3 linked regions of the Sus scrofa genome follow. The protein of the gene in region 1 interacts with the protein of each later gene in a pairwise test. Links are inferred from orthologs where the notes say so. Each region holds a gene or a part of one and is shown on either strand. Other genes may lie near its edges.

Region 1 (10,920 bases):
ATTTCACAACCACTTTGCAAGAGTGGGTATTATTCATTCTAGAGAAACTGAGCATCAATGACGTTAAAGAACTTGCCCAAGGTTGTTAATCCAGTAACTGACAGCTGGCACTCAGTGCCCCCGGGGTGTGACCGTCATCCTGTAGAGAACCAAGGACTGTGCAGGGCAGTGGCACGTTCCCAGATGGCAAAATCGCAGCCCTGGGGTATGAAGTGACTTCCTCTAAGCTGGGTATTAAGGGGAGGAGCTGGACTTGGATCCTAAGCAGCCCCCGACCCCACTCGGTTCAGTACATCATGGTGCTAGAATAACTTAGACACTCAGGATTATTTTTATTTATGTATTTTTTTTCTATTTTTTGTTTTTTTAGGGCCACACGGGCAGCATATGGATGTTCCCAGATGAGGGGTCGAATAGAAGCTGCAGGCACCGGCCTACGCCACAGCCACAGCAACGTGGGGTCCGAGCCGCATCTGTGACCTGCACCACAGCTCATGGCAACATTGGATCCTTAGCCCACTGAGCGACGCCAGCAATTGAACCTGCCTCCTCACGGATGCTAGTCCAGTTCATTAACCACTGAGCCATGAAAGGAACTCCAGGGATAATTTTTAAATTCCCACTTTCCTATGTCCTGCCTGGTGCCTGGGCACTCCAGTAACAACCGAGATGAGAGCTATAAAGGAAAGAGCTGGTGTGAGTTTACATGAATTACATATTGGTCATGGTCTAACAGAGAGGAAAGGGAAAGAGGTAGGCTCCCACTGTCCCTTTCATATCACCCAGTGCAGGCTTCCGGTCAGATGATCAATCAACCAACATGTACTGAGCATCTGCTAGAAGCCAAGGACCACAGTGGGTGCTGGACCCCTAGACATGAGTAACTGCCAACTGGGGACTCACCGTCACGTGGGGTGAACACACATGTAAACAAAGGCAATGCAAATCCCACCCACACACGGCCTGGGGACCACAGGGACAAGCGAGTTCCCACTGGAGAATCAGGGGAGCCTCCACGGGGGCCACAGCTTCTCTCCCAGGAGATACCTTCACTACAGCGATGCTGCTCACAGAGCCCTTTTCTAGTCCTTCTAACGAGGCAGCATGCCTCCTCCATCGCACCTGTGCAGATAAGAGGATCCTAAGATAATCCAGGAACTGGGAGTAGTAAGAAAATCTTGGGAAGTGATTACACTGCTTTGGTTAATAAGGAACAAAGATGTGGATCACTGGATGACCGTGGTGAATTCGATTCCTCTAGAGGAAGTGGGCAGCAAACGAAAGCTTCATTTCAGCTCGGTTAAACACAAAGTAATTGGGATAGTAAAACTGGTTTGCTAATTTAACTAAAACTTGAAAGCAAAACAAATATGTCAGTTGAAAGGGTGACTGTTATATAATCTTAATGAGTTTTCAATTTAAACATTTTTTTCCAATTGGAACTGGGATTAACTTTAGAGTTAAGATATAGTACATTGAAATCAGGAAAAAAATATGAGGATCTAAGAAAGATTCATATACCTCTCTTACATCAGATAGATTACGGGGAGTACATATTTTTAATGTTTCAGAAAAATAGATAACTGATTATTTTTAAATCTCAGAACTGGAACCGTTTAGGGTCAAAAGTAGTCAAAGATTAACAGAGGAAAAAATGTACCCACTTAAGTAAAAATGAGAGTTTTCCTATGGAAATTTAAAAAACACCATTGAAATACAAGACAAATTCTAGCATGGAGTACTAGTTACAGTGATACAGCATAATGTTGTAAGTTACTTACGTACTAATTATAATTATATGTTAAAATTATAGGGGGAGGGATAAAGTAGGAGATTGGGATTAATACAATGCATTACGACATATAAAGTAAATAACAGCAAGGACCTACAGCACAGAGAACTCCACTGTGTTTTCCTTTACAGGTTATTTTCTAATAACCTGTAAAGGAAAAAAAAATCTGAAAAAGAATATATATACATATATATATATACACGCAGACGTATATATATATACACACACATATGTATAAAAAACCGAAGCGTTGTACCATACACCCAAAACTAACACAACATTGTAAATCAACTATGCTTCAATAAATAAATAATTAAAAATACAATTATATGGGCTAATAATTACAAAAATTGGTAAGAACTCTCTAACACCTTCATAGATAAAGAACTGTGTCACCCAGCCATTGCTACAATATTGCCGTCTAACACATCCCCTTCAAACTCAGCGGCTTAGAACCACAGCCTTCATCCTCGCACCCGTCTGCCAGCCAGCTCTGATGTGGCTGATTTAGGTTGGCCTGGGTGACGCTGCTTCAGGCTGCAGGTTCTCTGGGCTTGGCTCCGGGATGCAGCTGGGGTAGAGGTCCGTTCCAGGTGTGCTCATCGGGGAGCACCCAGGGCTGGTTCTCATGGTGATAAGCGCGCAAGAGATGAGCCAGGGAGAGCAAGCAGAATTAAACCTGTCGCTTGTGTCGTGGCTGCTTAACCTTCTGTTGGCCGAAGCAAGCCGTGTGGCCGAGGCCAGCGTCATTGCGGTGGGGAATGGTGTTCCACCCGCAGTGGGAGGGGAAGCTGAAGGAATCTAAATGATCACAGCAGGAAAAAGGCATCAACTGGCAACGCACGAAATAGGAAGCCCACACTTAATAGATGTATGGAACGATGATCCAGTCCATTAGCAATAGAAAAAGTGGAAATTACAACTGCATTGCGATAGCACTTATTACGCATTAATAAAGAAAGTATTAAAATCAAATCACTCTACAGTAGAAATTCTCCCCAACAAGAACAACATACAATCCAGATGGTTTTACGGACGAGTTCAACGAAATTTTCTAGAAACAGATGATTTCAGCTTATGTAAATTCCTCCAGGGGACTGGAAGAATGGGAATGTTCTTAATGCATTTGATGGCCTCAAAACAAAGGAAAAACACAAGAATACAGGAAAATTGCAGCTCAATCTCACTCTTAAGCAGAGGCGTAAAAATTCTAGGTAAAATAGCACTAAACAGAATCTAACAGGGTATAAAAAAGACAACACAACGTAACAAATACCCCCACATAGCATGGCCCCTATCAGAGGGAAGTTTCTAGTGTGGCTGGTCTAGGCTCTTGGACTTCAGAGGTCATCCGGTGACCCAAGCTCCTTTCAGCTGGTGGCTAGGTGGTTCCTGAGATCACTGTACTTATCTGGATGATCAAAGCTGGGCCACTCCCACGGCGGAGCAGCGGTCAGGGCAGGGGGAGGGAGAGCTGAGTCCAGGGAAGGCAGTGATCCTTTCAAGGTAGGAGCTACGAGAGGCTGCACCGTCACTGCTGGGGTGAACAGATGCTCTCTGGGCAGCTGTGGGCCCAGGAAGAGATGCACGGGTTTTATGGGGGACAAGCCAACCGGCACGCTGCCACTCTAGGAATACTTTCAACAAAACATGTGCCAGATCTATACACAGGATATGATAAGATCTTACTGGAGGACATTGAAGAGCACTCAAGAAATACCCTCTCCTTCGGGAGAGACATACTCAGTATCATGAAGTTGTTATCTTCAAATTCGAAATAAAAGCTGAATGGAATTTTCATTGAAACTGACCATTGACAAGGCTGGCTCTCAAGAGGTAAGAAGCATAAGGTTGATGGACTTGCCCTACCTGATATAAAGACCGATGCTGAATCTGCAGCCTTTAAGCTTTGGGTCTGGGTATAGAAATAGACAAGCTGACCAGAAGAAGAAAAGAAGCCTCCTGCATAGTAATGGAATTTTGACGTGCAGCAGAAGGGCCACTGGAGATCCCTGAGGGGCGAAGGACCTGTCTCCTAAATGGTCTGGACCATCTGAGTATCCACATGGATAAAATGGAAATTGGATTCCCATCTCACACAAAACCCAAAAATCAGTTCCAGTTGATTAAGGACTAAAAATATGAAAGGCAGACTTTAATACTTTTAGGATAAAATATTGGAGAATATTTTTCTAACCTTAGAATTTCTTTAAAAACACATAGAAACTCAGGAAAGAAAGAGTTGATAAATTTGACTATTTTAAAATCAAGACTTCTTCAGGAGTTCCCATCGTGGCTCAGCAGAAACGAATCCGACTAGGAACCATGAGGTTGCGGGTTCAATCCCTGGCCTCACTCAGTGGGTTAAAGATCCGGCGTTGCTGTGAGCTGTGGTGTAGGTGGCAGACGTGGCTCGGATCCTGCGTTGCTGTGGCTGTGGTGTAGGCCAGCGGCTGCGGCTCCAATTAGACCCCTAGCCTGGGACCCTCCATATGCCGCGGGTGCGGCCCTAGAAAAAGACAAAAATAAATAAATAATGAAATGAAATGAAATGAAGACTTCTTCCAAAAATACCATAAAGAACATGAACATTAAGTCATTCCCTGGGAGAACGTATTGGTAATATAAACCATCAACAAAGAATTATGTCATGAACTTCTATAAATCTATGAGGCAAATGCCTAAATACAACTGAAAAATGTGCACGAGATGTGGACTGGTATTTCACAGCAGAGAAAATACGGATGGCACATAGCCCAAAGTGGTTCTATTTCCTTAGTCATCAGGGAAATACCAAGTTGGACCACACTGAGATATCATTTATTTCCACCATCTTGCCATGTCCTGTGTTGGGGAGAAAGAGAAAAAGTGGGGTACACACTTACCCTTGCTGGTGGAAACGTACACTGGTACAGCCAATGCTTCTGTTGGTACACCGCACAAACATTTAGATAATCTTGAAGGCTTTCCAATACACAAGGTGATTTTTATGAGCTGTTCATATGAATTCACAATTTTTAAAAAAAGTGGAAAGCAACTGAATAGGAAAACGATGGATATTAATAGCAGTGAGAAATGACTGAACGTCAATTATGTGCCATAATACAGGCGAATCTTAGAAACATAACGCTGAGTGAACATAGCAAGTTGCAGACTCCCATTAGGTATGATGCCATTTTTATAAGCCTAAAAATCCAAATTTCACCAATATGTTATTCAGTTACACACACATGTGATGAAATTGTTTCAAAAGAAAGAGAATGAAGGGCGTAAAATTCAGGATGTGGGTTCCTTTAGGGGCGGAACGAGGGCAGGGAGGGGGACAGAGGAGTTAGGATGGATGCAAGTGATTGACTGGGTTATGGGTTCACCCGTGTTATTTGTTTTACAGCATATGTACCTTCTTCTGTGTCTTCTCATGCTGTGTAACAACTGAACCAGTAGCTGACGTCAGCGAAGTGGCAACAGAAGCCTGAGGAGAGAGTTAATTGTTAACCAAGATTTGTAGACGTGGTGCCATGTGAAGATAGAAATGAGGTAAGGACAATCAATCATTCTAAGAGAGACAGAAAATATGGAAAAAAAAAATAGCAGGACCGGTAGAAAGCTCACAATTGTATGGCAGAGTAGGTTCAACTATACAAATAATTAATATAGTTATATAATAATTAATAAGTAATTAAATGAGGTATATTTACAAATGAAAAGATGGATGTTGTCAGATTAAATAAAAATAACTATGGAATTCCCGTTGTGGTTCAGCTATAAGGAACCGAGCAGTATCCAAGAAGATGTGGGTTCAATCCCTGGCCTTGCTCAGTGGGTAAAGGATCTGGTGTTGCCCTGAGCTGCAGTGTAGGTTGCTGACCTGGCTTGGATCCCACAATGCTGTGGCTGCGTTGTAGGCCGGCAGCTGCAGCTTGGATTGGACCCCTAGCCTGGGAACTTCGTATGCTGTGGGTGGGGCCCTAAAAAAAAAGACAAACAAAAGCAGACATTGAGAATTTAAGGGCTGGAGGCAGTTCTGAGAAAGCCTTGGCAGGACAATAGAGAGTTTGAGGACAAAGACTGCCCAAGAGCTGTGTCCTCCGTTAGGCAGACATGGCCCATCACCTAGTGCTCCCACCAGAGTCAGCCAGGGCTGGGAACGGCTTGGGGGGATGTGCGACCTTGGTGGGAACAGCTTGGGGGGGGTGTGCGACCTTGGTGGGAACGGCTTGGGGGGGTGTGCGACCTTGGTGTGAGCACCAGGGTAGATCAAAGGTGTGACTGCTGGAGGCCCATCAGTTAGTTACACTCTGGAGATGTGAGAGGCCCAAGTCCATGGCCACCGCAGAAAGAGGTCTCTCCACACTCTAAATAGAGGCACTGGGCCACCTCTGCAGGATTTGCTGCATAAGGGTTCTGACTTCAGCCCAATTTTAGGGAGAGGGGGGAGTGGGAGAAGGTTGGTAGCAAGAATTACAGAGTGCTGTGAGGGAGAGGAGGGGTACGGCCACTGCATGCAGAGAAAGGCTTCTGGAGAAGTCCGCAGAGGGCTTGGCGTGGACCACCTGGGGTCTGCGGGCATACCTGAACCCGCAGCCTCCTGACTCCTACATGACAAGCTTCCTAGAGGCCGATCAGAGCCTCCTGCGAGCAGGGAACGAAGAGGGCGTGCTGCTGTGCCAGTGACCCGGATGGTTGACCCGGATGGTTGGGTTGACCTGGATGGCTGACCCGGGTGGTTGACCGAGGAGGAAGGCTCGGCCCGCCAGGTCACATGACGCCGCAGAGACACCCGCAGAGAAGCTGACCCGAAGCCAGGACCAGAGCCCGGGTAGGACCGGTTCCCCACCCACCACCCTGGAGGAGCCAGTCTGCACCGAGCCGGCCCAGGATGTGGAGCCCGGAAGGGAAAGGCCTCAAAGGCTTCTGAGCTTGGGTTTCCCGAGGAGCCGGTGGGAGGCAAGAGCGGGAAACGGGACCGAAGTTTTGATTTGGACTGGATGGGACTTTTTAATACCAAAGAAACCGACTGTTTATTAGCACTGGAAAGTGACAGGAAAAGCTATGAAATCTGCCCTAGATTCTTCCAGAGGAGAAGGGAGAGCTGTTAGAATCATTTGAAAAGACAGTGGTGTGCAGAAAAAGGTACCGTTTCATGATTTCCCTTTGCCTGGTGGTCCAGCAGTGTTTCAGACATGAACCGGTGTAAAACATTGTTTAACATGGTGATCTGGAAAGAGAGAGCCCACTACTCTTAAAAAACCCCCAACACCTAAATAGTGCGACCACCAGCACCAGCGATTCCATTTTATAATGCTTATTGCGTTGCTGTTTGAACCAGAGGCAGCCAAAGGTCTCAGCCCTCCCCTGCCTTTTCAAGCCTCCCTGGGAGCGTTTCTTTGGGAAGTGGTTAATACATTTATTACCGAGAGGGTCTCTGGAACCCCTCGGCCAGTGTTAGGCACAACTGGAGCTTATTAAATATAGAACTAAACCCGATTCTAGAAAGAAAAGCCTGCCTTTCCCACAAACCTTCCTAGAGGATCATTTCGGGCTCCTCGTGCCTCGGGAATCCCACTGCCCTCGAGGTTCCCCGTGCTGAGCCCAAACTCGTGCTGCTGCCCCCGCATTCGAAGCCGTTCCCTCTTCTCCCTCAGAGGAAGACCGCAGGTCCTGCTCCTCGAAGCCCCCTGCCCTGCAGCACCGGCCACCTCGCTGGGGTCGCCGGCAGGCTCCTGGCCTCGGTGGCGCGGTGGGGGCTGCCCGGAGCCGCAGCGGGACGGCGCGCGCAGGGCGGCCCCGCGGCCGGCAGAGGGCGCAGCGGCTCCCCGGCGGGGCTGCGGGCGCGGGGCGCGGGCCCCGGCGTGTGCGTCTCGGGGCGGCCGGGAGGGGGTGCGCGCCTCTCCGCCCCGCGCCGCCCTCCCGCGCGGGCCCGCTCGCCGCCCGGCCGCTGTCACCGCCGCCCGCACCTCGCGAGCGAGGCGCGCGGGCTGCGCGGGCTGCGCGGCGCGCTCCGAGGCCCGGGCTTGGCCGCCGCCCGCCCCGCGGCTTCTCTTTGTCCGGGCGAGGCGGCCGGAGGAGCGGCCGCTGCATCGTCCGGGGGGCGCCTGGGCGTCCGGTCGGAGGTCCCCGTCAGCGGCCACGGCGCGCTCCGAGCGGGGGCGGCGGCCTGGGCGGTGCCGACGCGAGGTGAGCGAGGGGCGCGGGCGGGCGTGGGCGGGCGGCGGGACCCGGCGGGCGGGCCGGCGCTGGGCGCGGGGGCGTCCCCGCCTCCAACACCTGCGCCGCCTCGGCTGGCTCCTCGCGGCAAGTTTGGAGCCACCCCTTTGGCGGACCTCCTTGGCCGGTGGGCAGAGTCCAGACCCGTCGCCAAATAGAAAACTCGAGCTGGAGGCGGCGGCGGCGGCGGCGGCGGCGGCGTGTGGCAGCCTGGTCCGGGATGAGGGGCTCTTTAAGGGCAGTGGTGGCAGCCTGGCCATCTCTCTCGGCTCTTGCCCACCCAGGTGAGCGAATCCTCTTCTGCACCGTCGGGTCGGCCCGGGCTCCGGTGCCTGCCTTCTGGGAACCCGCGCGGAGTTGGGGAGAGACCGCAGCGGGGGCTCGCTCTGGCTTTTCTGCCGCCGCAGCACTCACTCCCTCCTGCCTACATCCTGCTCAGGCTGAGGTGTTGCAGCTCGTTTGGCACCGTCGCTTGCTGCCAGGTTAAACAGCCTCTGATTCAGAAGGGCTGGAGGTTAGTGGAACCGAATCCTTTCCCCCGCCTCCCCACACACCCCCAGCTTTGGATAATTTGTTCTGCGTCTTCGTCTTAATATAGTAGGCATGTGCTAGTTCCTTTGAGCTTTATAATGGTAAAGCAGTGAAATGGTTTGCTACATCCCCCCCCCCGCTTTTTTTTTTTTTTTTTTTCATTCTGAGCCTGTGCACAGAAGGAATTTCAGGCACACAAGTGATGTTACTACCATTCTATTTTAAATACAAACACGGAAAGAAGTGCTCTTGGCAGGATACCAGAGGCGCCTGTACGCTCTGTTATATAAGTGCTTTTTAAAAATATGTGTTCATCGGTAAAGTTATGAAAGTGATTACCAGAGCATCTAAGAAGAGAGGCTGAAGATAAGTCAGAGTCATAAGTCATAATTTTTGCTTTAGCCAAAACTTTACTTGAAGACAATAAAGCGTATTCTTTAGGATAATATAGGGCCTTTCTCTGAACTCATTGGGTCGAGTTGTCAAACATTAGAAAAATAAAATAGGTTTCGTAGAGGCTATTAAGAAACTTGGTGAAAATTCTTTACTTATGGATGGTAATAAAAAGATCCCACAGACACCCTTTATGGCTTGTAAACTATTGAATGACTTTATTTTTACAGCTGATGGAAACTTAGTAATTACGAACTGCCAGTTATTCAAGATCCCTCCACCCTTTAAACCTCTGCTCCTATTTATGGTTGTTTTTTTTTTTTCCAGGAAAGAATAAGACAGAAGTAGAAATAACAGATATACCGAGGTCCGAGAATGTCCTTTTGTGACTCCCTCCCCACAAGTCTAATTCGTTTTGGTGACATCTGACCTTAGCAACGTTGAAAGCTTCCTTGTGATACTGTTGGGCGGGGGGAGACCCGATGGATAGCACTCTTTCTTTGAATTTTGTGCCTTTATAGCCTGAGGTGTGGCTCCACCTGAGTTGTGGTTTAAGTACAAAATGAGTGGTTAGAAATATGGAGAGAGAAAAATGGTGTTGCAAAGGAGATGTGTTGAATTATAGCATCGGACACTTTTGTATTTTGTTGAAATATTTTTCTTGAGTTTTTTTTTTTTTAAGCTGCCAAAAATCAAAAAAAAAAAAAAAAAAAACCCCAAAAAACAACCCATGGTCCTGAGTTGATGTTTACTGAGGACCATGCTTCCATGGAGACTCTGTCAGGGAATCCTAAGTGGGACATTGCTTTGTGCAGTGGTAGCCGTGAAGTTGAGCAGTGGTGTCAGGGTCTTTCTTTATGTTTACGTGCGAAGACGATTGTGTCTTAGTGAAGATAGTCTTCTCCATCAAATTCAAAGCTCGCCCATGTTAATACAGAGCAGCAGGTTAAGTGCAGAAAGCTTTTATTGTCTTTAAGGTCGGAAATAAACCTAGCTGCTGAATGAGTGTTTTCTGTCTACCTTATGTAATTCCAAATATCCAGATCTGGGGGCGGATCTTATGGCTGGTTTGTGAAGGGTTATGTAAGAACTACGACTCTGCTTTTTGTATTCCATTAAAGTCCCTGTTTTGGCTCTTACATAATGGACACAGTACCGGGTTGTTGAAGCCAGAACAGGGGAAGATGCACAACCCCAGCCCAGCACATGGACTTTTATAATGAATTGCTGCTGCCAAATTAGAGGGAACAGCAGGGATGGAGGTTTGTGAAAGGGAGATAAGAATAGCATCTAGAGGATTGATGTAATAGAAGACTGTTATGCTTAGCGGTTTTCTAGAGATTTTAATGCTGCGGGTATAAACCTCGCTGGTCTTTTATATCTCCCAGCAGAGGCGGATTGACTGGGAAGCTAATGAATCTTAAGCTTCAGGGCCCCTCACTCCAGCTTCGTTCAAGCCCCCCGGGAGAGCCATTGGCAATTGCTCCTGCAGCCAGAGAAGTTTGTATTTGTAATTTTGGATTCTTTTTTAAATAAGGAAGACTCGCTTCCCCCCTCCCACTTCCCATCATACACACATAAGACTCCACAAACCCTGGATGTGCCGTGTCTTCTAATTATGTTCAAACGTTAACTTTAAAGAATGCTTTATCTTATTTTAACGTCCTATGAAAAGACAGAAAAAGAAATCTGGTCAACGTTGTAGTTGAGCTGCGGAGCAAATGCAAATTGCTCTAACCCAGGGCTGCGTGGAGCTGCTGGAATCAGGTGGTTACCTGGAGAACCAGCTCTGCCTTGTGATCTTGCACAAATGGGGGCTTTTTTGGATCCGAGTGTGAGCGGGAGGTGGAGAGGCTGGGACGGGGGCGGTGAAGGGAGGAAAGTGGGTTAAAGCTGCCGAGGGGAAAGGAAGAAAAGGGAACCACCAAAAGATGCTTCATTAATAAAAAGTTAATGGGAACAGATAGCATCAGCTCCGTAGGAGACCTTCCTGTAAA
Region 2 (10,706 bases), on another chromosome or scaffold:
CTCGGGGAAGGGAGAAGGGGCCAGAGCTTGACAGATCTTATGTAACAGCACCAGCTCCCGTGTTGGCAGTGCGTGCACTGCCCCGTGCCAGGGCCACACCAGGCTCCTTGGCCGCAGCCAGGACTCATGGCTGACCCTCATGGCACAGGTGAAGTAAGCCAGAAAGCTCTTTCCTGGGGTCTCTAGGTTTGTGAAGGCGCAAACCTCCATCAGCCTTTCTTAGATGGCCCGTGTTCCCAGATGATTCCTTGGCCTTTCTGTGGAGGGGGCTCTTGCTGAGCCTCCCTGCTCCTTCCCTGGGAAGTGAATGTTGTGTGTTTACTGTCTTTGGAGGTGGCATCGACTTTCTGGAACAGTGGTTGCTGAGTCAAGTTAGGTTTGCTGAGGGCTAATTTTAAGGCAGTTCTTGACCCCGAACTTTCTCAGCCCTTTGCACTTGAGTCCCAGCATCCCAGCTGGAGTCACTTCCTTCTCTCCTGGTGAGAGGCTGGCTGTGCAGGGTCTCTCCCAACTTCTCCAGTTCTAGCCTCTCCCTGTCAGCCCTGAGGTAGGATTGTTTTTTCCCGGTAAGAAAGGTCACTCCTGGAACATTTTGTTCCTCTCTGGAATGGAAAGTGCTGACTTTCCCCGGAGCTCCTGATTTCCTCTTCACAGCTGGACATAAAAGAATATCTGGCCGAACAGAGAACAGCCCTGCTCTCCCCTCCACTCCCACTCCCTGACTCCTCTTACCCAGTTGCCTTCTACCCTGATACTCAGAAATTGGCAAGTAGTTTTGAGCTCACCCCCAGAACTGAGAAAGTGGCTGCAGGGAGACCTCATCTTCCTGCATCTCTCCACCCTCCGGGCCATAAGTAGGGTTAGATCCTTAAGAGTAGCAATCATAGATGGTGATCTGTTCTTCTTGACCCTCCCTCAGCTGGGTCACAGTTAAGTGTCAACCCCACAGGAATGCTTCATTAGAAAGATGACTCCAGTCCTATTGTTCCCCCCCCCCCACCGGTGCTTCTTGACTGCTGTCTCAGCCGAGGGCCCACTTTGGCCAACAGTGACAGTCACCAGCGGGAGAATGCTTTGCTCCTATGGCCTGTGTAGGCAGGTGTTGTCTGGGGGCGGGGAGAACTGGTAAAGTGCTGCCAGAAGTAGGTGGAAGAGTGGCTGTCTGTCCTGGGGAAGAAGCAGGTACTCGGTCGTGGGCAGGCTTTAATGTTTAGTTCCAAATGGGCGACACGGAGACGTCATTGTTTTTGTTGGGCCCCAAGTCGTCCTCCAAATGCGGCTAAGGTCTTTGTCCAGGGAGTTCTCTCTCTTGTGGCACTCTGACTGGCACATCAGGGTTTTAGATGTCAGAAAGGTGAGCTTTAAATTTTGTGTTTGGGACTCAGACCCTGCTTTGTGCTTCGGTGGCTGCTTTTACCCCACCTGCTGCCAGTAGGCTTTTCTTTCTAGCTACAGATGGACACCAGGTTTCTCTTTGGGTTTAGGTGTTTCCTTCCCTACCTGTTAGTGTTAGACCTAGTAATCGGCAAGGAGGGATCTTACTTGTGGGATCAACAGGGCCATTCCTGAAAAAAGCCCTCCTTCAGCCTACCTTTCCCAACCCCACCCCCTTATGCTGACAACCTCATGGGCTTTGAGCTGCTGACAGCACACGGCATGAGTAATTTTAGCTGAGTTATTTCAGGCTCCTGTTCTGATCAGGGTTGAGCTGGCCCCACGCATGCCCCAGCCAGCGTTGCTCCAGAGTTGCCTCCTCCCGGGTCCCCTCCCTGAGAGAGAGGGTGGCAGGCTCATCTCTTTAACCCTTTGAGCCTGGAGGTTTCCTGACTCCTTGGAGGCTGGGCCAGGATTAGCCAAGAGATCTGGACAAACAATACAGTCCTCAACTGAGCACCTGTTCTCTCCCCCACCCGCTCCCCAGCCTCCACAATAGGAACAGGAGCAAGAGTAGCACCTTCAGCCAGGTGCTTACCTCTGCTTGGCCGCTATCTGCCATCGGAAGGATTCCCAGCCAGTGGCCAGTGAGGATGTTGAAACCTGAACCAGGCAGGGAGGATTCTCCCAGGCTTCCATCGGCCCTTAGGGGCTGAGCTCAGCTAGAAGGAATTCCACCTGTCTCCAGCAAGTCGGAATAGCAGGCCAACTAGAGATTTTTCCCCAGCTGGAGATCTAAACTCAGTTAAGGTGTTTGTCATTGAACTTTGCAGGACTTCCTTGAGGAGCTTATGATGACAGCTGTTTTATCTATCAGACATCTAGGGGTACAAATGTAGGGTCATTTGAGAGGGCACCTGGATTTGGGACCTGAGATTTCTTGGAGCCAGGAATGAGATATGTGAACACCGAGTCGCTGGCTCTAATCTCCAGTTTCCGATATGGCAGAGAACGAAGAGTAACATAAAGATGAGAGAAAACACATAGTCGATAAAGGAAAGCAAAGTATTTTTGTTGTGAAGAATATTTTTGCTGTGTGTTGGAAAGGACAGGCATTCCTCACCCCTCTTTCCTACAACATTCGTAGACTAAAGTTGAAGAGACAATACTGTGTGCGACCTGATTCTAGTGGCTACAACTGGCAGAAGGTTGCAGAGAGAACCTAGTACAGGCCGGGCCTCTTCCTGCAGCCTTATGTGCCACGTGTTCTTTGCTTACAGAACTCTAAGAGCGCCCAGGGTCTGGCTGGTCTTCGAAACCTTGGGAACACGGTAAGTTTTTCCCAGCCCACTTCTTTCCTGAGGCCACTCCCTACCATCCCAAGTGGGACCATCTAACCAGGGTCCCTTCCTGGCTCCAGCTGACTCCCTACCCCCTAGGCCAGTTGGTACCTGCCCTTCCTGGCTGGTGTTTTACAGAATGGCTGGGCTCTGCCTCATTCCTTGCCCCCAGCAGGGAGTACTGCTAAAGAGGAGTTGTCCCTTTAACCCTCAGCTTAGCTCCTTTTCTGGATTCTTCTCCGCAAGGACATCCATCACTTCCCACCCACTTCTGTCCGGCTCACCCACACCCTTTTGTACACCTCTGTAGTAAATGCCCAGTTACGTCACCCGTGCCAGCAGTGGGAATTTGCCTCACTTCACCGCTTTCACTTACAAAAAGAGGAACTTGAGGCTGTGGGAGGATCCATTTCTGGGCCAGATGAACCAGAGGGCCTTGGGTAGGTATTAAGTAAAAAGACACGCCAGACAGGGGTCTTTGTTCCGCTGCTGATTGCCTGGGTGCTCTCTTGCAGTGCTTCATGAACTCCATCCTGCAGTGCCTGAGCAACACCCGGGAGCTGAGAGACTACTGCCTCCAGAGGCTCTACATGCGGGACCTCAGCCACAGCAGCAGTGCACACACGGCCCTCATGGAAGGTGAGGGCCCATCCTTGGACACTGCATGCTTTTCCACTCCACCAGTGCTGCGCTCTAGTCATGTGTTATATGTGCCTCTCTTTCTTCCCTTTGGCTTCTCTTTGTGGGGACCCTAGTTTCTTAGAGAAAATGGTCCATGTGTCCTTCACTCCTACAGAGTTTGCAAAACTAATCCAGACCATATGGACCTCATCCCCCAATGATGTGGTGAGCCCCTCTGAGTTCAAGACCCAGATCCAGAGATACGCACCGCGCTTCGTCGGCTATAAGTAAGGGCTTCAGGGACACATCCTCCGCACCGTGGGTGGGGGCAGCAGCAGGGCCCAGGGGCAAGAGGTATTGCTCACTCTCTTTCTTCGGGTTCAGTCAGCAGGACGCTCAGGAGTTTCTTCGCTTCCTTCTGGATGGGCTCCACAACGAGGTGAACCGGGTCACAGTGAGGCCCAAGTCCAGTCCCGAGGGCCTCGACCATCTCCCGTAAGCAGGAGGAGTGCTGGGGGCAGGACTGTGCCCGCTTCTCTGGGAGTAACGAGTGGGGAGAATTCTGGATATTAAGGGTTTCGATGGCTGGGCCTTTAAACTTATCATGGTTTGAGCACTGACCCCCTTGTCTTCCTCTCTCTGGGTCCTAGTGATGATGAGAAAGGGCGCCAGATGTGGAGGAAATATCTAGAACGGGAAGACAGTCGGATCGGGGGTAAGTGCGGGCATGGGGGAACACCCGCCTGTCCTGGGACCTGCCTGAGCAGAGCACAAGAAGCCTGCTCTCCCAGGGACCCCTTCTGCTGCCCAGCGCCCGGCACCAAAGGCCTGAGGCAGGAGCCATGAGGAGGGAGGAGTCTTGGTGCTTAAGCACCTCGTGTCCGTCTCTTCTCCAGATCTCTTTGTTGGGCAGCTGAAGAGCTCCCTGACGTGTACGGATTGTGGTTACTGTTCTACAGTCTTTGACCCCTTCTGGGACCTCTCCCTGCCCATTGCTAAGGTATGTACCCCTGCCGCTGCGCTGTTGAAAGACCCACTATGACTTTTCCATGTCATCGACCTCTGACCTTTACCTTGCTCTCTTCCAGCGAGGTTATCCCGAGGTGACTCTAATGGATTGCATGAGGCTCTTCACCAAAGAGGATGTGCTGGATGGCGACGAGAAGCCAGTAAGTCACCTTCCAAGACAGCGAAAGCTCATCTCCCAGAGCCCTCTCGGGGGCAGACTGGCACGGGAGCTGCTGGATTTGGCTGTCGACCTCTCTGTGAGTCCTTGCCAGCCCTGTCTGTCGTGTTTTTCAGACGTGCTGTCGCTGCCGAGCCAGAAAACGCTGTATAAAGAAGTTCTCCGTCCAGAGGTTCCCAAAGATCTTGGTGCTCCGTATCCTTCAGATCCATCAGGGCAGGGATGTGACTTGTAGAGAGTGGCCGATGACCAGGGGCCAAGGCGAGGGCCAACAGAGTAGGAAACAAGGAAGCTTCCTTCTCTTGTTTGCTAGTCTGCTTCCTGAGACTCGCAGTCACCCTCAGGGACTCCGTCTCCTTTTCTTTGACTCTTCTTGTTACCCTCTTTGTCCTTGACACATATCAATGCCAGATCTGAAGCGGTTCTCGGAATCCAGGATACGAACCAGCAAGCTCACAACATTTGTGAATTTCCCACTAAGAGACCTGGACTTGCGAGAATTTGCCTCAGAAAACATCAGTGAGTACTTTTCAGCTGGAAGGGCAGAAGCAAGGCACAAGTGTCTGAGATACAGATGGGAGGCCAGGAGGGGGAGGGAGGCAGCTAAGGAGTGAGATGTGGACACGGGGTGCAGAGGCGGGACGGGAGGGGCGAGGGATGCCTTGGGGGCTTGACACGCTCTGCCTCCTCCTCAGACCATGCTGTTTACAACCTGTACGCTGTGTCCAATCACTCCGGAACCACCATGGGCGGCCACTACACAGCCTACTGCCGGAGTCCCGTCACGGGCGAATGGCACACTTTCAATGACTCCAGGTGAGACAGGCCTCGGGGCGGGCCCGGCTGTCAGACCCCCGCACCTCACCCAGAAGAGGTCAGGGCCAGAAGGTGTGTCGCTGCCCCTGGGAGACTTTCCAGAAAACAGCAGGAGAGGGGGCCAGGGCAGGGGTGTCTGCTAGATCTGGGACGGCCCCCCTCCGCCAGGCTGACCTGCCCTGCTCTCTCCGCAGCGTCTCCCCCATGTCCTCCAGCCAAGTGCGCACCAGCGACGCCTACTTGCTCTTCTACGAGTTGGCCAGTCCGCCCTCCCGCATGTAGCAGCCAGGAGCTACGTCCCGTCCGCCCTTCCCCGTGGTAGCCCCACACCCTGAGTTTTTTAAAAAGACAAAAAAAAAAAAAACAAAAAACAAAAACAAACCCTGACGTATAAGAAAAATAAAGGAAAATGAAGCTGCCAGCAGGAGTTGCGGCAGCATGGCCGGGATCTGGAGGCGGGAGCCGGGCGCTCCGCAGCCGGCCTGGCAGGGAAGATCCGCAGGACACAGACCCAGCGGGCGCGGCGCCCCTCGGCTGTTTGCATTTGCACACCCGCAGCTCGTTCCTGTGTGTGAGAAACGGCAGCATCTGTGGGGAGAAGACAGCACCTCGGCGCTGCGCGGCCGCGGCCTCCCGAGAAGACAGCGCCCTCTAGAGCCTGCGGGGAGGATCGCCCCCGGGAGCGCCCCGCCTTCCTCACCTGGACCCCTGCTCACCGGTTCGGGAGCAAGGAAAACACCTGTGAGCCAAGAGCCCTCTTAACGCTGCTAACCCCAGGGGGACAGATGAGGGGACATCTTTGAAAAAAAGCTGTTTTTGGTTTTTAGAAGCCCAACTTTTTTAAAAAATTACCATAACTAAAGTTTTCAGACTGGAGATGCTCTCCTTGACACCTCTTCACAGCTGGGACGTCGTGCTGGTCATTTTTCTTTCTTTCCTTTTTTTTTTTTTTTTTTTTTTTTTTAATTCTTCAAATACAGATTTTCTAGTGCTAGCCCCCAGTGGTGCTAGGTGGGAGTTGGCCAGACCCCAAACACAGCCACAGTAGATCTGGGATCTGACAAGTTTTTTGTTTGTTTTTTTAATGTTTTGGATGGAATCTAGTTGCCTCCAAGAACTGTGCCTTATAGCATTTGGGGACCAGGGGGTGACTGCCCCTCCCTGAAATATCCCACAGCCTCTTCCCTTTTCCCCGGTGCCATGTTCAGAGCCATTGGAAAGCTCGGGGTCTTGCCCTCAGCCCCTGGCTCGTTTCGCATCGCAGTGAGGTGAAGAGGAGAGTAGGTCAAAGATTTCTGATAGTGTTTCAAGTTCTGCCCACCTGCTTCCTCTAACCCGCCCCTGGTCTGCTCCCCAGCTGTTGGAAGGATAGCACGAGCCCCCTACCCTCAAGCTTCTCCCCCCTTTAATTTATTCCCCCTTAACAAGCTCTCCTCCGCCTTCCTGCCCCAGCCCCCTTCTCAGAACCTCCTGGCATAGGCCCTTTGGACCGAGTTTCTCAGGGATGCCCATGCCACCCCCCGGCTCCTCTTGGCATCAGTCTGCAGTCCGGCCTGGGAGCTGGAGCCTGGGTGTTTGGGGACATCTTGCCTCAATTGTATGATTCTCTGCCATGGGCGTGATTGTGCCCTACACAGCTGGGCAAAACTCTGTGCTGTCCCAGGAGAGAAGCCCTTCAGCACCCAGGAACCGGGCTCTGGGCCTGGACCTCTCTGCACACCCACACAGCTGGGCCCTGCCTGTGTCCCTTGGAACCCAGGACTTTCCTGAGCTCCCAGGAGGCATCCGGAAAAAAACACACCCTGAGTTTAACTGGCCTGACACGCTTCTCCAGGGAAGACCTGTGAACCTGAGCCAAAGGGCTGGGGTACACTTGTTTACTGTGTAAGCAAGAGTAGAATGTGTGATGTACAGTGGAACCTTGTACAGAATAAATAATAGCTTTGAGAGATGAGTTGGTAAGTGGCGAAATCTTGATTTGGGAGGGGTTTGAACCCAGGGAGAGCGCTTAACCTGTCAGTGGCCAGGTATTTTATTGCTTCAACCAGATGGTAAATTCCACGTTCTGGAAAAAGTTAAATTACACACTGTTTAGTTCAAACTTCTCAATTCTGTGAAAAAGCTGTAATAGTACATATTTTGAACAGTATATTCCTCCTCTGGATTCACTGATGTTAATATTAACATCTTGGGTCTTCCTGTTGTGGCTCGGATCCATGAAGATTCAGGTTCGATCCCTGACCTTGCTCAGTGGGTTAAGGATCCAGCATTGCCGTGAGCTGTGGTGTAGGTCACAGATGCGGCTTGGAGCCTGTGTTGCTGTGTCTGGTGTAAGCTGGCAGCTGTAGCTCTGATTCGACCCCTAGCCTGGGAACCTCCATGTGCCTCGGGTACAGCCCTAAAAAGCAAATAAAGGGTGGATTATGAAAATAATCTAAAAATTAACATCTTACCACATTAGTTTATGTATACTTCATTTTTGGAGGCAAACATTTAGGGATGAGGTGTCCTATCAGCACTTCTAGATAACCCCAGCGTGTCTCCCCATATCTGGCACTCTGGCTTCCCACTTAAGAAAATTAGCATCTCTAATAGACATTTCTTTAAATAGACTGTCTGCTTTTTAACTGCTGGTATGGGCACTCTGGTGGTTCTCTGTTGACACACTTGGGTGTCTGTAAAGACCTCTGACGAGCTAAGACAAGCCTCTCCAGCAGAGGCTGAATACAGCCAAGTTTGCTCTTGGAGCAGAGTGGCTATTCCTGGATATGGAGTGATCGAGGTTTGGTTCTTGGTAAATTAACCAAAAGATCTCAACTTGCCCCACTAATACCTGGAAACGGCTGCCTTTGTGCTAAAGTGCTGCTTCCAAGATGGCACCAGATTTAACTCGAAGGGAGGGCCTCACGGGATCCCCAGGGATGTGACTCCTTTGGTTTTTTCCTCAGGACTTCAGATTTTTCATTTCTGCCACCAATCCTAGAACTTGAAAAACAAAAGTCTTCACCAGCTGAGCTTAGAGTATTTTATCGGGGTTTTTCCTGCCATCCCTGCTCCAGACACAGAAATCAAGGCCTGTCTGTGTCTCCCTCCCTCGCGGAATCAGGGGCACCTGTTGTCACTCCCCACTCCTGGGCTGAGACAGTGCTGGGGGGTGGGAGGGGGGCGGTGCTTTTTTTCTGTACATTTCCCAAGAAGGATTGAAAACAAGAGTGACTCAAGCCTGGAGTTTCTCCCCCACCTGCTGGGAGGGGCCTAACCCAGGATACGATGTTAAATACTGAGGATTTCCCTCACACCATAGGTAAACAGGATCACCTTCAAAATGGAAACATTAGGCTTAGAGCAAAATGGCTAGCTGAGCCCCGGATTAGCGTAAGGTGCCATACCCTTCCTGCGCCTAGTGTTTCACTGCAGGGGGAAACCGCCTGTGTGTTTCATTGGCTTCTACTGGGGAATATTCAGACTATAGGTAGCTGTTGAGGGCAGGGGCTCAGCCCCCTCCAGCTTTGCTCGCAGCCCTCTTTTCTGTACTTAACCTGTGGTGCTTTCTCTTCCCCATGGCAACAGGTCCTAGTGCTACACAGTCCCCCACACACAACCTGGCCCCGTGTTTCTCTACCCAAAAGCTTTGCCTCCTAGCAACTGGGATTTCTCTCCCCATTCTTTGCTGGTGTTCCAGCAGGCCTCTCCCTCAGGGAGGCAGTGTCCCTGCACCTGCTCTTGTGTGACCTTGACCAAGAACCTCCCTCTTTCTGGGCTTTAGTGTCTCATCTGTGAATTAAGGAGATTGGACTAGAGGATCTCAAAGGTCTCAGCTCACGTGTTCTCATCCTGAGTCACTTTTTCCCTAAATACAAGTCCTGTGTTAGGGGACTTGCCACCGCTGGCTCCCTGGCTGCACTTTATAGAGTTTCTATGTTTTTTTGTTTGTTTGTTTGTTTGTTTGTTTGTTTGTTTTTTGTCTTTTTGCCATTTCTTGGGCCGCTCCTGCGGCATATGGAGGTTCCCAGGGTAGGGGTCGAATCGGAGCTGTAGCTGCCAGCCTACGCCAGAGCCACAGCAACGTAGGATCCGAGCCAGGTCTGTGACCTACACCACAGCTCACGGCAACGCCGGAACCTTGACCCACTGAGCAAGGGCAGGGATCGAACCCACAACCTCATGGTTCCTAGTCGGATTCGTTAACCACTGCGCCACGACGGGAACTCCCGAGTTTCTATGTTTTAAAGTGACCAGTGCTTAGCAAATGCATATTGCTTCAGAGTTTGGACCATAGAGGTCAGCTTGTCCACTGGAGAAGCCCCACTCAAGTCCACCAGCTCATCGGTGGCAGAGGCAGGATGGAAGCCAGGGATCTCGTCTCCCCACCCAGATCTCTTTCCACCTGAATGCTCTGCCTTTGGGTCCAATAATTGACAGTAATGTGGTCCAAAATGTTGCAGGATTTTCAGCAGCAAATTTCCCAGCCCTGTGTCTATTAGCAACTGATCTGAACAGCAACGTGACCAAGGAACTCCTTGACTCTACAGGTTCACACTTACCCAAGAGCAAACCCAGCACAATCTGTCACATACCTGGGACTAAGCAGGGCTGGGCGTGCACTTCTGAGGGGCCAGTCCTTCACTGCTCTTGGCCACAAACACCTGTGCAGGAGGCAGCAGAAAGAGACTAGCATTTATAGTCCAAGCAAATTACTTAATCTCTCTGAGTCTCCATTTCCTCCTTTGTAATCTGAGCATAACTATAGCTACTGAGTTACGAGTGTCCAGCACATAGTAGGTACTCAACAAAGGTCCATTTCCCGCACCTCACCTCCGTTTCCAGGACCACACAATCCATGCTCTACTGAGATTCTCTTAGTGGGTGATCCTCAATAAATGCTTAGTTCCCCTGGCCTCTCGGGATGCTCCTGACTTCTCAGGAATTCAAAGTAAATACAACATTGTCCAACCCACAGAAGTCAGTGAGGCAGAGCCACCAAATGGGCTTTCCAAAGCCGAGAAATTAGCTTTCCTGATTTCCTGATACTTGGTGTGACCTGCCTCTCGGAGGCGGCAGTGGGTTGGCTGGGAGTGAGCTGCAGTCTTCCAGGCTCCTGGAGACTAGAGAAGATCCAGAAACCAGGGGGTGAGCATCAAGAATGGGGCAGCCGTGAACAAGGAGAGGAGGGAGTGTTTGATATATCGGGTCGGGTTGGGGCAAAGTCGAGTCCTAAGGCACACCTATACTGCTGGTCCTAAGAATGAACAAAAGGAAAGTGTTCTGGTCAGAGGACAAGTCTGAACAAAGACAGGTAGGGTGGGAACAGCAGGTTCCAGGGAAAAGGAAGAGGCTAGAATGGCTGGAGGGGAAGGTTGGAGCTGGAG
Region 3 (10,900 bases), on another chromosome or scaffold:
TACTCTGGGCTTGCTCAGGGCCCACTTTCTTTTCTAATTGCCTGATTCTTCCAAAGAGGATGTAATGTTCTGAAGTAGTCTTCTTTTATCTCTTTAACATTAAAAAAAAAAAGTGGGAGTTCCCTGGTGGTCAAATGGTTAGGATTCAGTGCTTCCAGTACTGTGGTCTGGGTTCAATCCCTGGTCTAGGAACTGTGATCTCACATCCAGCAGCTGCACACCATAGCCAGAAAATGATGATGATGATAAAGAAGATGATATGTTTTTTAAAAATATGTGTTTTAAGAGACTCTCTTGGTAAATCTTCTTTCATCTCCTGGCCTCCAAAGGGAGGTCTCAGCATGCGTGCTTTCTAGAAGCTCTTTGGCTTGAGGAGTCTGGACTCTTACTTGTGACTGACTTGAGGTACATTTTTAGTTCTTACTCTTTATGTTGAATTGTTATACATGTACCTCTTTTTGTTACTTAAGTTATACAAGTTCATTGTAGAAAGCTCAGAAAAAATAGATAAGCAAAAAGACACATTATTTTAAAAAAAATACCCATAAGCCCTCTTGCCTTGTGCAGGAGATAGATCTGGGAGGCAGATCTACAAGCCAAAGCTGGCTCCCAGGTCCATTTCCTCCTCTTAGCAATCTGCCCTTGGAGTATAAGTGTTTTTTTTTTCTTTGTCTTTTTAGAGCCGCACCTGCGGCACATGGAGGTTCCTAGGCTAGGGGTCAAACCAGAGCTGTAGCTGCTGGCCTACACCACAGCCACAGCAACATCAGATCTGAGCCACATCTGCAACCTACACCACAGCTCAGGGCAACACCAGATCCTTAACCCACTGTGTGAGGCCAGGGATCGAACGTGCAACCTCAAGTCCTATTTGGATTCGTTTTCACTGCGCCCCGACGGGAACTCCATTTTGTTCTTGTTTTTGCTTAGATTCCCCCTCTTCCTCTCTTCCTGTCACTCTGGCCCCCTCCCTCCTGCAGCAGCTGGACAGGGTCTCACAATTGTGGGTCTTCAGGAAATTGCCCCCAACGTCTTGGCTGGGTCCAGTTTCTTCTACCTTTTGCTTTTAGGTCAGGGGCTATCAGTGGGGATGAGCGAATTCAGGAGAGATTGCAGAAGCCTCATGGTACTCATCAGATTTAACTCTGAACTTGCAACCTGACTCCCGCCTGTCGATGTCCCCGTCACCCCATAGGGGATTTTCCTTGGTTCTGTGGAGTTCTGGGCAAAGGAAGATGGCCTGCTCTTCTCTTTATCATGAGCGTGGACCTTAGTCACAGTAAACAGAGGCAAGGCAGCCTCTTTGGTTGGTGGCAGAAAGCTGGGGAAAAGCCAGAGGGCAGTGCTGTCTGTCTGCCAGCCACTCTGGGCTGTTGCCTCTTCTCCCGACTGAAGCTGGATTTCACTTGAATGTGTGACCAGCTCCTGAAGGTGATTCTGCCCACAGCAAAGGTGAGCGATACAGCCTGCCTTTTGTTCTTCATGCAGGTATGAATCAGGTTCAGCCGGGTGACGAATAAGTAATGAGGACGACGAGAAGGCCTGTCTCTTCTCTGAATCGAATGGAGCCTGGCATTCCTCTCGTTTTCCTTGGCATACTGTCCTTTTTCTCCAAATGTTGACCCCTGCCCCTGGCCCAATAGGCTCGATTGTTCCTTTCCAACACATCTTTCCTTCTCTCTCCTCTCTTCTCCCTCTTGCCATTTCCTGCCTTGTCTCTCTCCTCCTGACTTTTGAATGAGACCAGAGCACAACACGGGTACATCTGAACACTTGCGGGGGTCATTCAAACACAGGTATCTGGACCCCACCCCCAAAGTCTTGACTCAGCCTGGCTGGGGAGGAGCCAAGAATTTGAATTTCTAACAAATTCCAGGTGATGCTGGCTGCGGATCACTCTAAGGATCACTGACCAGGTGGTTAAACACATGGATTCCAGACTCAGGCAAACCTGGCCTCAAGTCCCGGCTCTGCCATTTCCTGATCATCCAGACCACTACCCCTGACTCTGTTTCACCATCTGTAAGGAGGCAAAGCTATTATAAGGATTAGATTGAAGGCACATGCTGGGCACTTGGGTTCTGCTCAGTGAAGTGTAAGTCTCTTTATCATGCTGTACCAGGCTTACACAGCCCTCCCTGAAAGTCAAAGCTTTTACTGACCAAGCCCCAAGTCCTGTGTCATGAAACAGTAAGGTCAAATAATGGATGTGCATTTGGCCTGGATGGGCAGCAACTCCTACTCCTGCCACCCTGGGATGCCTAGACTCCGAGACCTATGGGCACCAAGACATCGTGATGAGAGGGGACCAAAGGGCCCAGGTCCCTTCCAGCTCTGTAGGGACACATAGGGAAATAGCAAGCTCTCTTCTCCGTGGCAATGCCAACCTGCCAGCCGCCGTAAAGCCCCCCAGATTCGTTTCTGCCCTCGGTGTGACTGTGCCCTGCTGTGCCCTGACCTATATGGGTCAGAGGATGGGGGATGGAAAGACTCCCCCCCCCCGGGGTGGGGACCCAGGGAAGCACTGCTAGACCACAAAGAATGCACCCTGAAGGCTGACAGTGGCCCCTGACTCCCACTCCCACCCGCGCCCGCTCCCCCAGTGAGGGCGATTCTGTGAAAAGCATACTCAGAGCGTGAGGGAGAAATGAGAGGGCAAGTTTTTGAAGGTTTTAGAAGATGGTGCCCCTCCTGTAGGGAGTTTTAGGGGAACTTCTTGAGCCGCAAGCCGACCTCAGATACTTGGATGAGTGGAAGGAAGCAGAGTCTCAGGATTAGTTTCCAGGCCCCAGCAAAGGGCAGGTTGAGCCCACTGCCTCCCTAGGTGCAGCTGCAAATCAAGGTTCATTTGCGCATCAGGACTAGAGGCAGGCGGTAGAGATCCTAAACTCCTAAGGACAGGATTGAGGAGGGGCTGGCTTTGGTTCTGCCACTGGAGAACAGAAGACAGGGAGCCTACAAAGTGTGGGGTGAAGCCGGTGCCAACTTCCATCAGGCTGGTCGCATGGCTTCTTGTAAAGGAAACCAAATTCAGTTACTTCAATCTCTAGCAATCCGGAGGCGGAAGGAAGAGTCAGGGGAAAGGCTGGTGCTTGGGGTGCAAAAGGTGCTTTTGGGGGAAAAAGAATATTAAAAGAGCTGAAGAAATGCAAGTACTTACATGGGTCTCTACAGATGAAGATACGGCCAAGGTGTCTTTTGAAGCAGCTGCTCAGTTAAACAATGGAAAGAAATTGGACGTTCTTATGGAGTTCCCGTCGTGGCTCAGTGGTTAACGAATCTGACTAGGAACCATGAGGTTTCGGGTTCAATCCCTGGCCTTGCTCAGTGGGTTAAGGATCCAGTGTTGCCATGAGCTGTGCTGTAGGTCGCAGACACAGCTCGGATCTGGCATTGCTGTGGCTGTGGTGTAGACTGGCAGCTACAGCTCCAATTAGACCCCTAGCCTGGGAACCTCCATATGCCGGCCTGAAAAGCCAAAAAAAAAAAAAAAAGAAGAAGAAAGAAAAGAAACTGACCTTCTGTACCTGGTCTATAAACACTCCACACACACACACACACACACACACACACACACACACACACACACACACACACACACCACTCAAATAACACACACCAGGAAGGCTTAAAAGACTCCTGGCGGGAATTATACGCTCAGCCAAGCACCTTGCCTGTTATTAAAGGAAGACCCAAAGACAGCACACAGACTCTCACAAAGAAAGACAGTTCCAGGGAGGCCATGGCAACTCCAGGCCAAGGAATTCTACTGTCCCATTGGATGAAGAATCTTCTGGATAACACAGCTTGGCATCTGAAAAGGACATGTCATGACCTAACCAAACTGCTAGCTTTCTCTTTAAGGGGTAAGAGGTCCTGCGCCTATGATTTCTAAATGCTAAAAGCCTTGGGCAAGATTTCACACCGGGAGTGGTTTTGAAAAATTGAATCAACATAGTATTTCTGGATCTATTTAGTCATGGTTTGGGAGCTGAGAGATAAGAAAAAAGAGGCATTTTGCTGGAAAAAAATATTAACAGAGGGAGTCCTCTGGGATGAGAGCTGGATCAGCGTTTAACATTTTCATCCATATTCAGAAAACTGAATATTTGGGATTGCAGGTAATACTAAGCTTTTCAGGATAGTGAAGTGTCAAGCTGTCAGAATTAATAGGAGGGCTTCCCAGGGTGGTATAAATAGGAAGAAAAGTGGCTGGGCAGAAATATAAGAGGGCAGGCCTGAGGTCACTTCAGAAATGGACCCTGGGTTATCAGTTCGAAGAACCGGGAATTAATGTAAAGACATCAGCAGCTTGATGTACTCCCTCAGACAACAGAAAAAAAAAAAAATTAGCAAAAATACAGGCCTTGGAGTTCCCTTGTGGCACAGTGGGTTGAGGGTCCGGCATTGTCACTGCAGTGTTTTGTGTTAATGCTGTGGTGCGGGATCTTCCATGTGATACGGACACAGCCAGAAAACAAACAAACAAACAAAAAAACATCCAGGCCTTGTCAGGAAAATTATCACAATCCATAGAAAACATTACCTCTTGTATAAACAAGAATTAAGTATAAAGAGAATTAAGAATTGAATAAAGAGAATTAAGCTTGAAGTTGTATCTACAGCAGGTCATTCATTGTGTAGACTCCTGGAGGAGGCAGAGGGTGCCCAGGTGGTGAAGACCTTACCTGGAGGGTCCTGAGAGTAGGGACAGCCAGGAGACAGAAGCTGGGAGGACTTGGCTCAAGGGTATTCGAGTGTTCAGAGGCTCAGGGAAGTGGTCACAGACCTGCTCACAACTAACCCTTCATTGAGACCAAACATTTAAAAGAGAACCCCTGACTCACACTGCATGGCTTTTATGTAACTGGATACTCTAAGGAGTAAAAATTAAAAGTGGTTCAAGGTGAGTTTCAGACAGCAGAGGGAGGTCCATTTCTGACCTTGGGTGACTGATGACCTGCACAACAACTGCCCTGTCGCCCTTGGGAGTGAAGTATTACTGTCACTGTTTTCAAGGGTCTCATTCCTCTCTCCCTCCCTCCATCCACCCATCATGTTCTTTCTTCCTATCCATCTATCTATCTATCTATCTATCTATCTATCCATCTATCTATCTATCTATCTATCTATCTATCTATCATCTAATCTATTAGTCTATTAGATGAGAAGGATATTGTTTAAGGATACAAGCTGGCAACCAGTAGTCAAGTCCTAGAGAAATCTAATGCACAGTATAGTGAATATAGGCAATAAATACTGTATTGTAATTATCCAACTTGCTAAAAGACTAGAACTTAATTATTCCAGCCACTAAAAAGAAATGATAATTATGTAACATAGCAGCCGTGCTAATTATCATGACAATGGCAATAATATTACAATATATAAGTGTATCAAATTAACAACATTGTACACCTTAAATTTACGCAGTGGCATGTGTCAAATATAGTTCAATAAAAAGACCATCTATCTGTGCCCATCTTTTGAAAAATAGTAGCAGGAGTTCCCATCATGGCGCAGATGAAGCAAATCTGACTAGGAACCATGAGGTTGCGGGTTTGATCCCTGGCCTCACTTAGCGGGTCAAGGACCTGGCATTGCCATGAGCTGTGGTGTAGGTCACAGACAAGGCTCGGATCCTGCATTGCTGTAGCTGTGGTGTATGTTGGCAGCTGTAGCTCCAACTGGACCCCTAGCTTGGGAACCTCCGTATGCCGCACATGCGGCCCTGAAAAGCAAAAAAATTAAAATAATAAAAAATAGTAGTCTATTAAGTAGCTGTTCTGCACCTTGCCTGTCTCACTTAACATGACAATACTTCGAATGCTTCCTTGGTCCTCTTTACATCTACATATCATCTCGATGTATGGATATAACAATTATTTAACCAGAGGACAGTGCTTTCAACCACGTTTTTCATCATAGCAGCAGACTAAATAGCATATGTAGACAGAAGAAGAAAGCTTTCTTAGGTAAAAAATAAAATGTGATCAAAACCAAAAAATTTTAAAGTGCAATTAAAGTTACCCAATTCAATTCAAACTTTTTCAACTCTATTCTGAAATCTGGGTTCTCAGTTCTGTGGTTTATTTGCACAATCTTTACTGCAGTCGAAGGGGGAGGCAGACAATAAACTCAATTCCAGATGAATTTTAAATTGTCTAGAGTTGGAGAATAGGAGAAAGGATTTCCTGCAAAACCAAAGAAATGCCTCTATTGCTCAATTTGCTCCCCTGCTCGTAAAGCCTCTGGCAAACATTAAGGATTTGATCAATTATTATTACTTCTCCCATAGCCATTTCTGTGAGCCGAAGTATACTCAGATCACTTTACTCATAACCAGAAAAAATGTTTAGTTTGCCGCTTCCAATAGCTTTTTAATGACACCCCCTGTTTCTCTCCTTCATTAGAGCCACATTATTTATCACGTTGGCACTCCTGCTATAAGCCGAAAACAACCTTGCCAATCGACATCATTACACTGTCTTTTGAGAATCTTACAATTTCCGTCATGGACCCATTTCATCTTTCTTAAATCTTGGCTAAAGTCACCAGAGTCATTACTTGAACCCATCTCATCTTTGTTCAAGTACTGATTGTCCCCTCTCCTCCCACCCCAACCCCACGCCATTCCAGCTTCGGAGGCTCCTATACCAATTAGAAAAATCTTAGGAAGTTCTCACTTGGCAAGCTCTCTCTTTTCATCTTCTATGGCTCGGATGGCTTTCCTCTCCAAACTTCTGAGAGACGGTCGAAGACAGTAAAGCTTGACATCACACAGGCAACACGGGTAGAGATCGCACAGCCCGCAGGAGCGGGATCGCTTTGAATAGCACAGGCAGTACGGGTACGGGTGCAAGTCACAGCAGCAATAAGGGTGCATGTATAGGTCGCACAGGCATCGCGTGCTGAATTCGTCGATGCATCTCAGCTGCCTTAGTTCTCTGTCCACCTTCTTTATGTCCCTTCTAACACTGTCCAAAAGGCAACTCAGTGCAGCCATTCCAGTCACACCTTATTGCTCTGTGAGTACCTGTGGAAAATGGCACTCGGGGGGAAAAAATTGTTCTAAGCTCTTCTCAGAAGTGTCTTTTAAAAATAAATGAGGCACGCATGGTTCACTTACTTTAAAGCTTGTGTTCTATGACCTCACTGCACTCTAAGTATGTCATAGTCTTTGGTTACCGTGTGAACCGTACACAGCCACAGTCTTCAGAGACTCTCCTTAGAGTCACAGGGCTGCTCTCAGAACCAAACTCATGCTGAGATTTCATTCCTGTTGAATTGGGATGGGTCCCCCCGCCCCCAAGCAGTCACAGGTCTTGGGGGTTCATTGGGCTAAATTTCCCTATCCTGGAATTGTCAGCGTTATGCCTGGCAGACTAGCCAGAGCGAGGCAGATCGTGGTGTCGGGGGATGGAAGAAGCCACCTGGCCCCTCTCTCTACACCCTTCTAGCTCTGGCCTTGACTTGACACCTTGCCTCTTATACTCTAGGATTCCTTCTGGTTGCTATTCCCACTATAAAGATATAAAGAGCTTTCCCATGGTTCTTGTTACCAAGTCATCCTCAAATCAGCCTTTGACTTTGACCTTCTGAATCCTAAGTTTCTGAGTCTTGCCCCTTCTTTATTTTTTTATTTTTTATTTGTTTGTTTGTCTTTTTAGGGCTGCACCTGTGGCATATGGAGGGTCCCAGGCTAGGGGTCCAATTGGAATTGTAGCTGTTGGCCTATGTCAGTCACAGCAATGCAGGATCCAAGCTGCATCTGTGACCTACACCACAGCTCATGGCAATGCCAGATCCTTAACCCACTGAGCACAACCAGGGATCAAACCTGCGTCCTCATGGATGCTAGTCAGATTCGTTTCTGCTGAGCCACAACAGGAACTCCGCCCCTTCTTTATGAACTGCCCATTCCTTCTTAGCTGGCATCCTGGCTATCCTGGAACCTCAGTTCTCCAGTGGCCCAGGTCTCACTCTTAAGCTCCCATTTCTCAGTGTTTAGGGTCCTGGCCTTGGTCACCACCTCCCAACAACCACACCTCTGGGTCCTACGTCCAAGCCTCCAGATGCGTGGTCCCCAAGTGCTTCCTAAATGTTGATCCTTGATCTTCTTATATCCAACTGTCTGAAGTGGCCCAAAGCCAAGTATCTGAAACCCCGACTTGGACCAGTTTCCTGTGCTCTCAGCTGGATCAACATGCAGGGCCTGGGGCTCAGCCTTGGCCTTGGCTCAGCTACTTCTACTCCTCTGGGCCGTTCCCCTCAAACTGCTCTCCAGCTCTCAATTCCCCTTTTAGTGAGCTAAGGCATAGGGTGCTTGAGGACAAGTGGTTGGCTTGACACTGGAGAGGGAGACAAGGGCCAGGTTGGAAGGGACTTGTGGGCCTGCTAAGGAGTTTGAACTTTATTTTGAGCACAATGAAGAATCTCTGCTTTTCTTTTCTGTTGAGAGAAGTGGGAGGCTATGTCCAGCAGCCACACCAAAGGTGCAATGTAAGGGTAACACAGGAGCAGTGTCTTCTGCTGGAAGGCAGGGGACAGCCAGCCAGATTCTGGACGGCGGATGGTGGCCAGAGGGGTAGCCAGGAGGCCAGTTGGGCTGTCCTTCCCCACATCCACTCAGGCCCCACCCAGCCCACTCTGCACATTCCACATTGTAGCCAGAGTGATGTTCGCTTCCCCTCAACCCTACCCCACCCCCGGGCAGAAAAAGCCTTCAGCATTTCTCTGCCCTCTTAGAGGAAGGGCCAACATCCTTACAAGGTGCTGAACAGTAGGGCCTCTGCCTGCCTCTCCAATCGCCTCTCTCATCATTGTTCCTGTCATTCATTATGCTGGAGCCACAAAAGCTTCCTTGAAGTTTCCCATTCCTCCTCTCTCAGGACGTCAGCGCACACTGTTCTGTCTGCTTAGGAAATGAACTCCTCACTCCAGCCCTTGATCCAGTTAACTCCTGAGGCATTCTTTCTTTCTTTCAAAAATTTTTTTTACATTTTTTATTTTTTGTCTTTTTTGGGGCCACACCAGCAGCATATGGAAGTTCCCAGGCTAGGGGTCGAGTCGGAGCTGTAGCCGCCGCCCTATACCACAGTCACAGAAACGCAGGATCCAGGCCACATCTGTGACCTACACCACAGCTCACAGCAATGCTGGATCCTTCACACACTGAGCATGGCCAGGGATCGAACTCGCGCCCTCATGGTTGCTCGTCGGGTTCATTAACCCCTGAGCCATGACAGGAACTCTCTGAGGTGTTCTTCAGATCTCCTCTTAAATGTCCCTCCTTCAAGGCCTTCCCTGTCCCCTAGGCTAAACACTCATAACGGCTTATTTCTTCCATAACATCTTTTGTCTGTTTCCCCAACTAGACGGTAAGATCCACGAGGGTAGGGCCCTATTTTGGGGGGTCAGAAGTGACTCAGAGGTTTCTAGCTTGGCAGAATTGTGGGGCCCTTGACTGAGATAAGAAACACGGCAAGAAGAGTTAGTTTGGAGCACACGCTGAGCTTGAGGTGCTAGTGATCATTTTAACAGAGAAATGGTAAGTGAGCCTGGAAGTTGAGTGAATGCTGGGCTAGAGATATCAATTCAGAAGCCACAAATCCATAAAGAGTTGGAACCCTGGAGTGGGCAAGATCATAGGAGGAGGAATAGAATGAGAAAAGGAAAGGGCTAGATGCAAATGATTGCATTTGGAGTGGATAGCAATGAGATCCTGCTGTATAGCCCTGGGAACTGTATCTAGTCACTTGTGATGGAGCCTGATGGAGGATAATGTGAGAAAAAGAATGTATATCTGTATGGTGACTGGGTCACTTTGCTGTATGGTAGAAAATTGACAGAACACTGTAAACCAATTATAATAGAAGAAATAAAAATTATTTTAAAAAAAGAAAAAAGGAGAGGGCTGAGGCAGGCCACTGAGGGACAATGATAAGAAATGAGGGTGGGGAGTTCCTGTCATGGCTCAGTGGTTAAGGAATCCGACTTGGAACCATGAGGTTGCAGGTTCAATCCCTGGCCTTGCTCAGTGGGTTAAGGATCTGGCATTGCCATGAGCTGTGGTGTAGGTTGCAGACATGGCTCAAATCTGGCGTTGCTGTGGCTCCGGTGTAGGCCCCTAGCCTAGGAATGTCCATATGCCACAGGAGCAGCCCTAGAAAAGACAAAAAAAAAAAAGAAAGAAAGAAATGAAGGTGTATTGGAGCTCATGAAAGTCTCATGGAAGGAATAATCAGATAGGTGAGAGCCCCACATGCTGAGATCCCTTGTGCAACACTAGACCAAGCCCAGCCTTTCCCAGCCTTGACCTAAGATCCCCTTTGTGTGCAGATGAAGTGTATTAGTAAAGAAAACACATTTCCCTGGAGATATTAGAATGCGAGGCTGGAGCCTGAGTCACGTGGGAGGAGTTGAAAACCAAAAATGAATAGTACTTCTCCATGGACAAATGCTGAAGTCTTTCAGGATTAATTTCATCCAATTCTGAAGGTAGACTCTGTTAATAGGAAGACGGCCTACTCTTTCCTGACTGATCACTGTGGGACTTGTGCAGGTTTCTCTAGTTCCAAGTGATGGACTTGTAAACTCTTGTATCACCGTGAATCCCATCCCTTAGCAAATGTCAGCAAAGGTCAAAACAAGCAAGCTCTCAGTTTTAGATTCTTAAATATACAGGTTCAGGAATTTAAATACACACACATCTGTATACACATGGCACATTATGAAGATAGATACTGCTTTATTTTAACTAGGATTCTCCCACAATCCCATCTTCCTTGTCATTTCCCGCTGCATCATGAGGCATATTCTTGACATCACTTCAAGGGACTTAACAAAGGCAGCACGTCCTTTAAAGATCAGATGGAATGTGATCTAGTCATCTCCAAAG

Evidence for each region.
Region 2: the proteins of MTUS2 (region 1) and USP2 interact in binary tests that used the Homo sapiens proteins (3 or more experiments, as listed by UniProt). The two-hybrid records come from large-scale screens. The link is inferred for Sus scrofa from reciprocal best matches to the Homo sapiens genes MTUS2 and USP2.
Region 3: the proteins of MTUS2 (region 1) and ODF1 interact in binary tests that used the Homo sapiens proteins (3 or more experiments, as listed by UniProt). The two-hybrid records come from large-scale screens. The link is inferred for Sus scrofa from reciprocal best matches to the Homo sapiens genes MTUS2 and ODF1.

The regions. Positions count from the first base shown.
Region 1 is NC_010453.5:6,034,485-6,045,404, forward strand, and holds the start of MTUS2 (microtubule-associated tumor suppressor candidate 2), read left to right. Parts: upstream 1-4,330; 5' UTR 4,331-5,329; intron 5,330-7,744; exon of another isoform or gene 7,745-7,969; intron 7,970-8,168; exon of another isoform or gene 8,169-8,513; intron 8,514-10,920. UniProt on the Homo sapiens protein: Binds microtubules. Together with MAPRE1 may target the microtubule depolymerase KIF2C to the plus-end of microtubules. May regulate the dynamics of microtubules at their growing distal tip.
Region 2 is NC_010451.4:46,560,054-46,570,759, reverse strand, and holds the end of USP2 (ubiquitin carboxyl-terminal hydrolase 2), read left to right. Parts: intron 1-2,654; coding exon 2,655-2,705; intron 2,706-3,229; coding exon 3,230-3,353; intron 3,354-3,510; coding exon 3,511-3,622; intron 3,623-3,719; coding exon 3,720-3,830; intron 3,831-3,985; coding exon 3,986-4,050; intron 4,051-4,231; coding exon 4,232-4,335; intron 4,336-4,423; coding exon 4,424-4,716; intron 4,717-4,932; coding exon 4,933-5,040; intron 5,041-5,216; coding exon 5,217-5,331; coding exon of another isoform or gene 5,332-5,337; intron 5,338-5,531; coding exon of another isoform or gene 5,532-5,619; 3' UTR 5,620-7,291; downstream 7,292-10,706. UniProt on the Homo sapiens protein: Hydrolase that deubiquitinates polyubiquitinated target proteins such as MDM2, MDM4 and CCND1. Isoform 1 and isoform 4 possess both ubiquitin-specific peptidase and isopeptidase activities.
Region 3 is NC_010446.5:34,513,534-34,524,433, forward strand, and holds the start of ODF1 (outer dense fiber protein 1), read right to left. Parts: upstream 7,069-10,900; 5' UTR 7,007-7,068; coding exon 6,687-7,006; intron 1-6,686.